Drosophila melanogaster: one gene and its partners. The protein of the gene in region 2 interacts with the protein of the main gene of each other region in a pairwise test. Each region holds a gene or a part of one and is shown on either strand. Other genes may lie near its edges.

Region 1 (5,443 bases), on a different chromosome or scaffold from region 2:
CTTTCGATTTCTTTGGCCACGCAATATCTGCATACAATGCAATCGATTCCCAGCACTCACCTCCACTCATTAGTGATGCAATCCAGCAGATGGAAGCCATCCACAAAAGCTGTCGTCCACCTGGAGCCATGGTTCTGGTTCTACTTACGCCCTGAGTAACCAGATTATTCGAAAAGCGCTGTTCGGAATGGATGTGGCAATGACAAGCGTGGCTGACTTTCACATCGTAGTGCGCATGCGTGCGCCTCGAAACTCGACTGACAACTGGTCGCTCGAAGGTTCGTGTTCGGTTTTGGCCATCGTCTTGGCCAAGTGTGGGGAGTTTCCCACTGCGCTCCACAGCTTCGTTCAGCTCCCCAGCTTTATCGGTGGTTTTGTTTTGACCTGGAACTGGTTTCCGGCACGGCTCAGCTGAGTCAGATATGCAGTAAGGTACTACATACCCCCAAAAAACCCCTTCCCTGAGCAAATCAAACTTCAATGGCTTTGTGTTTTTTTTTCAAGACGACTCTCTTTTGCTTTATTCCAAGACTTCGTCATCGTATCATCATCTAGTTATGTTGTATAAAAACAGTTACTTGTTTTCTATTTTTAGATGTTTTTTGTTTTACTCTTGTTAATATTCCTGACCGGGTTAAAAGTTTTCTGAATTTTTTCATCTTGCCGTGTGTAGCTTAAAATATACTGAAGTAAAGATTCGATTTGCATTTAACAACTTGTTGCATGTTGCACTTTGAAATGGATTGCAGTGTGCGTGTGAGTGTGGTGTGTGCTCGTGTCGAGTGTCAAGTGTTGAGTTCTGAGTAATAGTAGTATTAGATAAATAAGGCAATATATTGTGCTTCCTCCGATCAGCCTAGGTACTAGTGGTTATGGGCACCTTATTCAAACTAAAACCCCCCCGACCGTCTATTTCCCGGGGAGGCGTATCATCCTGGAAGCTTCAAAACGCATTAACTAGAAACACTGGGTTTGTTATTTGAATGTTTCTTCATATTTCAGATATCATTTTGGGTTGTTTGTTCGTTTGGGTGGTTTATATCGCTGATAGTTCATAAGCAGAAAGTTGTGGTGGTGGCGATGGTTAAGTTATATAAATTCGCATTAAACAATTTGAGTGAATGAACTTAATGTTTCTCTGTTATTAGCCTAACTCTCGATAACTTGCAATAATATTGATAACTCATAACTGATAAATAAGTAAGTAACGAACGATAGATATGTATAACGATAAATATTTTGTGATAGTAGGATATATATTTGGCTCTCAGTTAAATGATCCCTAACAATAGTTTGTTATGGGTTTACCTCTCTCTCTCCTGGTCCTGCGAGATTTCTTGAACGAAAAACATTGTAACTCACAAAACTGGCTAAAATTCATATTCATAATCAAATTGAACTCGCGGGTGCAGGGCTAACGAATACAGCCCGGCTACCCATCAACATCGTCTTCGTCCTCCCTACATCATAAATCATACATCATACATCCTCATTTCGATTCCGATCTCGATCTCGATCTGGTAATCATCTCTCTCTGGGGGTTCTTCTCTTTAGTTCTTCAACGGACAGCGATATAAAAATAGACACGGCTTGTTTGTTGTTTTTAAGTTTTTTTTGTTGATTTTATAGGTGTTTTAAATAAAATAGATAGCATATGTTTTATAAATTTTACGTGTAAAATTTAACAGTAAATCAACTAGAAAACTACGCGTCAGTTCTTGCCGTGACAGTGAACGTGATCGTAAGTATCCCTAACTATGATGGACAGATACATGGTAAATGGTTCTGATCGCTACCAAATGTTGCTGAAGAAGTTCTTTTGAGGTTCAGTTTGATCGGATGTTGCTGATCTGGTTGGTGGTGTTGTTCTTGGTACAAGGTACTTGGTGATGGTTAACAAAAGAGATTACAAGATACTGAGAATCTACATATGTAAACGAGCGTTTCTTTTAATTACGTTTATTATTACTGATTTGACTGATTGATTTAACGTTCTGATTCTGGCTGTAAAATGGATGTTGAGTTAGAAGTTAGGATGTGATCGGATGTGCCTTAGGCGGCCTCCTCCTCCTCCTCTTCACCCTTGCCGGTGAGCATCTCGATCAGGGCGGCGGTATCGATCTGGTTCTTGTCGTCGATCACCATCTGATCGTAGGCATCATCAACCTCCTTCATGGTGAACTTGTCACCGAAGTTCATGAGCATTTCGCGGAATTTGTCACCGTCGATGAGACCATCGTTATCGAATGTTTTGAAGGCAGCAATAACAACTTCGTCTTCATCGTTGGCACCGGAGGTGGCCATGCGGTTGGCGAACAGGGTCAGCAACTGGGTGAAGTTGATCGGACCCGAGGCCTCGCCCAGCATGGCGTCCAACTCCTTGTCGTTGGCGATCTTGCCGACGGAGTCGAAGGCAGCGCGCAGATCGTTCTTGCCAATAATACCGTCCTTGTCGGCATCCATGAGTTGGAAGGCCTATCGATCCCGCACAGAGACAGAGAGAGATAGAAAGAAAGAGTGTGTTGGTGACTTGGTCCTTGACAAGTGCGATAGATGGTAGGATGACAGGATGATGGGATGGGTCTCGAGTGATCCGACATATGATGCGATATATGAGTAACGCCCAAAACTCACCTCCTTGAACTCGGCGATCTGCTTCTGGGAGAACACAGAGAAGACCGAGGAGCCAGCGCGCTTCGACTTCCTGGAGCCACGGGATCCGCCCGACGCTCTCTTCGAACCAGTGGCAGATGCGGCCGGGGCAGGAGTGGCAGCTGGTGCCGGGGTTGCTGCCTCGGATGCGGCCTCAGAAGCGGTTTCGGAAGTACCACCCTCTTCCTTGGTCTTCTTCTTCTTAACCTTCTTCTTCTCATCGGCCTGAGGAGAGAAAAGAGGGATTTATTAGTAGGGACTCGTGGCAGAAAGGGGGTATCTACTCGGTCATTAGTCGTTATAGTCCGTCTTTAGCTGTCACTTGAAAGTTCCGATTCCGGAAGTTATACTATTCGTTTTAGGGATCTTAGTAAGTTATCCGCGTTGAAGGATCTTCAATTGGAATTATATGGGTAGAAAGTTATCCCTTAATAGGGATTTAAGGGATGTAAGGTATGCTTTTCAAAAGGCCTACCCGACTAGGCCAGAAAATATGTATCTGCAGGCGAAAGTTTTCCACTCATTCTAAAAATATACCGGACGCATATTACGTAAGCTCTCCGCCGTGCGCCACTCGCTGTCTCGCTCGCTCCCCGGCACGGATATCAGATTACATTACTGACGCGTAACACTCGGATCGGATCGATCCATTTATAGAACTTTCTGCACTATTCTCACTGCGTATGTGAAGAAGGTGAATCGGGATCACCATGATTTAGAGTTATGGTTCACTTCATATTCATATCCTCGGGGTCATTCTCGAATGCAAACGATTCACTGCACTGATCGGCATTATCCTTGCTGCATATATCCAGGCACTGGGGTCCAGTTCGATTCGGTTCGGTTCAGTTCGGTTCAGTTGGATTGTAGTGATATTCCGGGACGAGTCCTTACCATGGTGCTGAACTTTGATGTGTTGTCTAATCGAGTCGAGCCGTCAGAGCACACTGAATCTCTGGCTGATTTTATCGCCAAGACAATGATGTTTTAAGAGCTCGGAGGAGCTCTTCTTCTTCCAAGCATTGGGGCCGCTCGTGGAGGTTCGGCCACCTTCGGGGATCTTCGGGCGCCATTCGCTGTATCCGTATCTGCAATATTCGTGCTGCCTTTTTTAGTATCTGCAAGGCGAGGTCCGCCCAGGAGATCGGCGGGGGCGGGCAGCTACAACTATATAGATATAGCCATGGCTATAGCCTATAGCCTATGGTGTAGCTGTATCCGAGGTGTTTACTCATCCATCGGGCGCTGCTCTAATCAAAAATCTAATTTTAAAGGCAGAGAAATTGCTTTGGCTTTGGCTTTTGGGCAGCAGAAGCCTATACATATGTTCGGAATTTATTTCGGGGCGATTCGGATTGGTTCATATAGCGGCTCTCTGTTGTGGATACATTTCCCCATCCTCGGATTCTGTTTTGTTTTCTTTTATTTTGCTCTGCTTCACTACTCGGTGCGTCTCTCTGCCAGAGGCCACCTCCGAAAGGTGTCCTCTTGCGCTGAAATCACCTACATTTTCCTTGGCGGCGGACAGCATACATATATGCCAACATATAGCATATGTATGTATTCTATTCACGCCTATATACTCGATGTTTTGCTCGCCTACGTTCCTTTTTCTGTTTTCGAAATGCCCCGCACATTGTGCAATATGAAGAGCGCCGAGAATTCCAAATCTATAGATCTGTATATACATACACGGCGATCGGGCGGATTTCGTGTCGCATAAATATCCAACGAACCCGATATTGGACCAGAGTTATTTCGGCAACAAATGTGGAATAAACATCTGACTTTATCTATATGCTAGTCATCCATGGACATTGCATAACAATGGGAAGGCTGTAGGATTTCCATTTCAGATAAACTTTGGGTACCACGTCATGATACATTAACCTTGTTACTAAAAATATTAAACACTGCAGTATTCAAGCTATTTAAGCCATTTCAGTAAATAAATAGTAAAATTGTGACAACTTCAATCGACAAATTGGATTCTCAAAGCCTTATTTACACATTTTTAGTTTTCCAAATAAGCAGGAAATTTCAATTTAGTTTCAAGTGTTACAAAATATTATTATTCATATAGTTTACATCTATTTTTTTTAGAAATATTCATTCTGCAAATTATTCGACTTTTTGCTTTCTGAAGGAAATAAGCCAAAACATTTTTCAAAACAATATTTACATGAGGTCATCTTTGCCACCTGAATTCATTACCCTCGCTGGCTAATATTATAATTAATGAAGGCTCTATGCAAATTTATGAAACGGAAAATATCTCAATTAACGATGGGATCCGTGCGAGAAAGCCTTCATAATTCATCGATCAGACATAATGAAAATCGATTTAGGCTGCAGTCATCTTCGTGCTCCATTGAAAGTGATTTTCGGCGAAAACTCTCATGGCGCAGCCATTTTGGCACGTAACCAGGCGACATTTTGGCCTGGGGCCAACCAAAACAAGAAGATATAGAGGAAAACTGCCCACAATCTAATACGCAAAGTAGCATTGAATATACGCGAATGTAAAAATAGAACAAAGTGCAAAAAACGAGCAAGACGCAGTCGAAGGAATGTTAAAACTAATGAAAACTGCGGCAAATGTATTCAATTTTCCAAGGTGCAGAATGTTTCTGGGAATATTAATGGTTTTGACACTTTGGAAGCATTGTTTATAAAGGGTTAACAATTAAATAAGGCAAATAACAGCCTACACATAACATTTGTTTATCTCAAGGGTTTCTAAATTTAAACGCCAAATCATCTTTGATTTGCTGATTTACTACGTTAGTCT
Region 2 (3,184 bases):
CTCAACCACAAAACACACAAGTTCCACTCGGCGAAATCCTGCGATGAGGAGATGAGGAGGTGCCAATATATGGAGCTGCCACAAGGGGCATAGTGGAAGGGCGCCCCGAAAACTCGCAAAAGTTTGCTCCAAAGTCCAACATATGTTGCCTGTTCATGCATGCCCTCGTACTCCCCCTCTCTCCACGTCTCCCCTTCCAAATTCCTTGCCCTGCAGTCACTAAGTTAGTCATACAAATGGAGAAAATAGATGACAGAACCATGTTAAAATAATGGTATGAAATAGAGGTTGTAAAATCGCAAAAAAATCGATTCAAACATAGTTAAATCATTGATGAAATCTTATGATATTTAAACATAGACAATTTTCATTAATAACGAAGTCGCTTTTATTTCTTTAAGTGCACGACTTTCATACACATACGGCCATCCAGCACGTGTGCCAGTGTGTGTGTGCCAGTGTGTAATTATAACAAGTTTTCTAGGCAATTTTTCTGTTTTCCTTCTCGTTTTTCGCCCCAGAATCTCGCTAGTTCCCCCGTTCTTTTATTTTATTTTATTTTTTTGGGAACGCTTCTGTTGGGTATCTGAAGAGCAAGAAGTAAGTTTCTGATAAGAAAGTTATGATGAGTTTTCTTCACTCACACAGCGAGCAGAAGATGGCAGCACATGTACACACAGCTGTTGATTTTGGCCAAATTAGTGCAAACACGTCTTGTTTTGAGTTGTGGCCCATGTGGAACATGTGCAACTAATTTGCAGTTATCAAGAGTTCTGCCTTCGACGGGGTTGAACGGATGAGCTCGTGGTCAGATGTCTGTATCTAATCCATCTGTTGGGGCATTGATTTTGGCATCCCAGATACATGCCACCAAACCCAATCCACCCACCATTGTTAACAAATTTCCATTTCCGGTGGTGGCCACAAAAAGCGAAAGGTGTGCGGATGGGCTTTTTCGGGCGGAGTTGGAGCTCGGAAAACCCCGCTGGCCTGTCTGCCGACTGTCAAAAGTTTATTTATTTGACACCGAAAAAGTTGACACAGACACCAGGCCGGGGGCGTGACTTTGTGCCTGAATCGGATTTATATGCCTGGCCAAAATTGGATTACAATTGAGTTGTAATTATGCGACAACAAAACGTTGCGTTCGAGGGGATGCGGATCCTTTTTGGGGTCCTTTGGAGCTCACCGCCTCTGTGTTCTGTTTTCCATGTTGTCGGCAATTTGAGCCAAGCGCTTGCTCAACGACGTCTTTTGAAATTTCGCATTTTGCATTAATTAAAACTGATTTAATTAAAGCTTGTCGTGTTGCTTTTAAGTACTTCAGGAACCAGGATGAGAGTAACAGGTCCTCGAGCTAGGACATCCACTAGCGCATCCAATCCACCCCATGAAAATGATTGAAGCGAGAGACCAAAGTGTTCTGGACTTGTCTCCTGTCGCCCTCGCCAAAGATTCTTTGTCGTCTTTGAGTAGGTGAAAGTTTAATTAAATATGCATCGAGCGTACACAAGTATGTGTACTTGTGGGCCACATAGATCGCATAGATATTTCACCGGAAGTCCCCCAGTCGGATTATGTCGGAATTAGTTATCCAAATTTTTTGGTTATCTCTTATCTCTTGTACAATATTTCACATAATACCATTCCACAATTCAGCTTTATTTGTCTTGTCACATATTTCAGATGCTCAGGTCTCATTGAGATTTCTATCAATCGGTATTGTGTGCTACCGTGTCAGAAAAATATTAGTTATTCGAAATCCCCAACAGCAGCAGAACGTTTCGATCGAAATTTCAGTAAGAACAGCTTTAAAATATTCAAAATGAATCCATTTAGGCCAAATCCAGGTCAGAGTTTTCGCATTCGCTTGAATATGGATCGCGTGCCGGGCGAAGAAGAGCGCAATATACAGCCATCGACTGATGAACGTCGAATCACCCAAATTCCACCGATTCAATTGCGCATCGATCATCAGCGGGATGTGAATCGTTTCATGATCAATATGCGTGTAATGCTACATCGACGGAGGACGGAATTAAATATGGGAGGCGGCGATAGTATCGGCGTGTGGAACTGGAGGGAGCCTCCGATGCCAAGCGGTTTGATTGGCGAGGGCGATTGTGATGGCGGTGGCTATGGTAATTACGCTGGTGACTATCATCCACCATTGCGGGGACTGCCACCAAACCCCTAGGATCTGTACCTTCTCTTACCACACTTGCCATCACTGTCTTTTGCCTCTCCCCTTCCTGTGCGTGTGTGATGTCCTTTTTTTCATTTCTGAGCGTCGTCCGCAAAAAAGAAGAAAAATGTCATCATCAGCTAAAAGGCCCGAAACCCCAAACACAATCCACTACCACTTCCATTCTCATTGCCACCTGAACCAGTAACCCTTGGAGAAGAACGGACCCTGTTCGGACGCATGTTGTTCTATTATTATATCCCCGTTGAGTTCTGGGTTGATGATTTTTCCATCTCCCCAAGAAAATTGATGGGCTTTGGAATTGGAGGACATGCCGAGCCCCGGACGCATATAATAATTTCCTGTTCAATGAGCAATTATCGTAATAAAGATACAATTCCGCTACTCTATATTATATTCGGATACGGGGATGACAATGGTGGTCAGTGGGCAACGATGGTGGCCAAGAGGGGAACAAGCGCACTGACGACAACGATGATGATGATGACTGGTCTCTTCCGCACTGATGTGATGGATTGAGCCCCAGCTCAAGTCTGATTCCTGTCTGTCATGTCACTTTTTCCATGGGGTTAATGGGGGCGTGACAAACATACGGGAAAAGCGCACGGAAAGTTGATTGAACTGCACTAGTTAACTATTCCCCGAAATGACTAGCATGCCATTTCAATTCTAGATGAATTTGACCCCAATATAAGCACTTCATTTTACTTACTTCATCCTAAAATGAACTTCTCAATGAAAGCTTCTATTTTAATGCATTTATTCTGAAATTCGTACATACATAGATTGTAGACAAATCAGGATGCCAATTGAAACAGATTTTGCCCTCTCAGCTGTGACATTTGCATAATCAAAGAAAATTTCGAGCGCAGCCATAGGAACTTTAGTGGGTGTTTGACTTTCATTATAGCCTTCTAGCAGCTTTAGGACTTCCCAATCACTGAGACCAACTGGCAGGGACTCGAGAGTATCAATTCG
Region 3 (3,541 bases), on a different chromosome or scaffold from region 2:
ATGATGACTCCCATCCAAACATGGTCAAAATGTAAGGAACAAAAGTCAAGGCTGCTTTAATATTACTATATTCATCATATATCTTATTTTTCAGCTTCAAGAACCGACCCAGGATGACCTTTGATGATGCCAGAGCAAAGCCCGACCAGGAGTTCCAGCTGACCCGCGATGCCCGCGGAGAAATCGAGTACTCACCCAAAGTGGTCACCTTCTCCTCCGTGCACCATCTCTCCCTCTACTTTCCCAGCAATTTTGGCGAAGACATAACACGCATTTACTATATAGGTAAGCTCACAACAATCTATGTTTTATCTGTGTTCCCAACTAAAACCAAGTCACTATTCAAAGGTCTTCGAGGAGAGTTCACAGAAGCTCATTACCATGGCGTAACCATATGCAACTACGAATCCCGTGCCAATGCAGCGGATCACAAGGAAAAGGCTTTCGATGGAGTCGGCAGAGCCATCCAATAGGGTTATAGAGATTAAAATTTACAATTTAATTGAGTATCTCTGTAGTGTATATATTTTGTGATCATTTAAGGCAAGAAATGTTTTTGTATTCGCTTAACTTATTGAGCATTTGTATTGCACAGATATTGTGGGCTAAATCATACTAAGTATATTGTGTGGGTGGAATCACATCGGGTCCTATTTTCATGCCCATATTGGGCACTTTATCCGAATGGATTTCAGCCGTGACCTCGGTGAACAGCTTGTCCCACTGCCAGAGATCGTCCTTCTCGTTGAGGCTCTCCTGTGGAACCAGGCAATCGGTGAGGATTGAGAGATCAAAGCCATCCACAGCTGAAAAGGCGTACTGGGAAAGCAAATCGGAATTGGCCTCCTTCAAAACAGCAGATCGTGAGGTGCCAATACTACAAATTACAACTTATTATCGTAGTGAAGAGAAATATAGCAGCTTCTGCTTACGTTGGCGGTTCTACAATCTCATTGAGCATGATTTCGTCCTTGACATCATCCATGTCTGGGATGACGGGAATGTCATCCGTTGGTATGGAATTTGTAGCCGACTTTGTTTGTTTAAAGCGCTCACTAAAATGAATTTTATCATTATAACAGTCGGTGGAAAGTGAAGTTATTGTGATAAACTTGTACTCACTCATCAAAGGAGTTTTTCTTGGACCTAAAAAGATATAGAGCAATCAGTAATGTGCCTAATTCGAGCCTAATCATACCCACTTTAATCCTTTGAGTCCAGAATCCGCCCAGCCACCTGAAATGCGACGAATGGGTGGTCGATGTGACTCGAATTCATTGTTGTATGTGGACGAGGTGGCCGTGTCCGAGGTGGTCGGTGGGGTGCCCGCCTGGACATTCAGCGTAATGTCGATGGAAATGTCCTTGGAGCCCCCAGCCGCCTGGACATCCTCCTCCTTCAGAACATCGCGACTCTTGGAGCGCCGACCCTTCCTGGCCGTCGTCTAGGGTGGCAAATAAATCGAAACTTCAATTTGCATCCATTTAAACAGGGTTACTTACCTTTCTTATGGTCATCTTGAGTTCTTCGGCCCAGTCCATCATCTTTTGTTTACGTTTATCCTCAGCGTTTCCAAGGCAACAAGTGGTCATGGTTACTCCGTGGGAATGTTCAAGTTTACTAATGGAGTTTGCCATTCGCAACGCGATGCGATAGTTTTCAAATCAGTTACCTATCGCCGATGACAGTTGGCGGAGCTTCAAGTGGCCAAAATAAACAAATATTTATTTTCTAATAACGCAAAATGCTGACGGACACGGAAGATGACTTCTTTTTCGAAGAGGATAAGATGTAAGTGGCCATTGAAAGCAATAAATTGCTGCAACACCTACGCCCAGCTCTATTTACGCACAACAATCTGTTGCGATGTGCCGAAAAGTGTCTGTTAAAAATCAATAATTGCCACCAAACTGAAACATATTGTTGGAATCAGGCCAGAACCGCTGCTCATCCAGTTGGATGGGGATGGTGCTCAGGCTGTCCGGCAGCCCAAGGAACGCACGGAGCAGCGAGAGCATGCCTCCGGTTCCGTCGCTCCCAACGAGGCCACCGTTATGCTCTGCTCCCCGGCGGGATTCTCCTGCGATTCCGCATCCGGGGACAGGTTCGGCATCGAGTCCGCCAGTAGGCAGAAGTATGAGTTAGACCGTCTGTAAGTCAACTCCGTTGACCCGGAATCGTTCCCATACTATTTCCTGTGGCAGCTCTGTTTTCTAAGTTCTGGTTTTTATAGTCTTTATCCTGTAGTTTCTACCAAATTAGCTTACTCTTGGTTTTTTATTGATTTTATTCTTTTAAATTCATAAATTGGTGTATTTATATTAATAGTAGCATATACACTTCTTTATTTAACTATTAAAAATTTAATTTTGATTCAGTTGCTGTTTTTTTTTTAATTATTTACTTTTTAAAGAGCGAACACAGTACTATATCCATTTTTTGTATAGTAAGAACTACAGAACTAGAACTAACAAGATTGTTGTTTATTTAGTTTATTAATTCCACCGAAAAAGGACAAATGTGAATTTCCTTTGTAGAGCCTTAGATGCTTATACTTAGGCTAGCTAGTATACAAACTATATTGAATTCGAGGTGTCCTTTGGCTTTCCAAGTCCCATCCTTCGAAAGCGTTAGTATCACGATGCCTTAGAATAAGCTGTCCCGATCAACAGTTTTCCCCATACAGCCCTAGCCAAACTTGATAATAATCCAATGGCCTTGCTAGAACTGGTAACATGGCTAATTAGAAAATCGCACCAATCGAAGTGAGTACGTATGGAAAACTGATATGGAATCACCAGCACATAACCATATATACTTCAAATCATGTAGCACGCGTAGATCACGCTTCAAACTATATTTCAATATCTTAACTTCTTACCAACCTTTATGCAGGGGCATGACTGTCAGCACGAATGCTGTCGTCATTACAAAGGATCAGAGCAACCTGATTGGCATCAGCATTGGGGGTGGAGCACCCATGTGTCCATGTCTGTATATCGTGCAGGTAAGTCTGAAAATCATGAACTCATAAACTCTCACAAAGATCTTTTTGCTGCCATATTCAGCTTGTTTCAAATTTAATTTACAATCTCATTTCTAGGCTGCCTGAGAATCTTTTCTAGCGGTGACCCTTGTTTGCTTCCAGGGATTCGGCGTAGCCTTGAAATTTGTCATTTTGCGTAGCTTAAAGTACTCGCTTCTTTCCCGTGCAAACCAATCGATGGTCTGCTGCTCCAAACGCCGATCCATCCGTATCCTTTTCCTCTCGTCATACACTTGGCGGCGCAGAGCACGCTCCGACGTATGGAGATGAAAAGGTTTTGGATGGGTAAAGGAGGACTTGACAAGCGGCGTAAAGGGCTGCCGGTTGAGGTAGTCCATAGAAGAGCCTGGATTGATTCGGGGCACAAAGTCGGATGTCTTTCGGCTCTGCCTTTGCTTCTTTAGGCGCTTGTTTAAAGCGACCATTGACGTGGCCAGCGTGGCAGGGCATCGGGGCTTCGTCACCGTTTGCAGAGAGTTCAGGTACAGCTTGCGC

Evidence for each region. The genes of interacting proteins can lie anywhere in the genome.
Region 1: the proteins of CG15576 (region 2) and Mlc2 interact in a two-hybrid assay, tested with the Drosophila melanogaster proteins (one large-scale study listed by BioGRID).
Region 3: the proteins of CG15576 (region 2) and IFT43 interact in a two-hybrid assay, tested with the Drosophila melanogaster proteins (one large-scale study listed by BioGRID).

Annotation. Positions count from the first base shown.
Region 1 is NT_033777.3:30,170,938-30,176,380, forward strand, and holds Mlc2 (myosin light chain 2), read right to left. Parts: upstream 3,615-5,443; 5' UTR 3,550-3,614; coding exon 3,547-3,549; intron 2,878-3,546; coding exon 2,635-2,877; intron 2,476-2,634; coding exon 2,053-2,475; 3' UTR 501-2,052; downstream 1-500. Other genes in the region: Rsod (uncharacterized protein), read right to left, coding at 61-130.
Region 2 is NC_004354.4:4,251,280-4,254,463, reverse strand, and holds CG15576 (uncharacterized protein), read left to right. Parts: upstream 1-1,673; 5' UTR 1,674-1,825; coding exon 1,826-2,197; 3' UTR 2,198-2,594; downstream 2,595-3,184.
Region 3 is NT_033779.5:12,693,372-12,696,912, forward strand, and holds IFT43 (intraflagellar transport 43), read right to left. Parts: upstream 1,618-3,541; 5' UTR 1,542-1,617; coding exon 1,503-1,541; intron 1,445-1,502; coding exon 1,203-1,444; intron 1,147-1,202; coding exon 1,123-1,146; intron 1,056-1,122; coding exon 933-1,055; intron 878-932; coding exon 616-877; 3' UTR 501-615; downstream 1-500. Other genes in the region: CG6153 (uncharacterized protein), read left to right, coding at 1-31, 95-285, 349-473; PICK1 (protein interacting with C kinase 1), read left to right, coding at 1,745-1,791, 1,934-2,152, 2,896-3,007; CG5781 (uncharacterized protein), read right to left, coding at 3,100-3,541.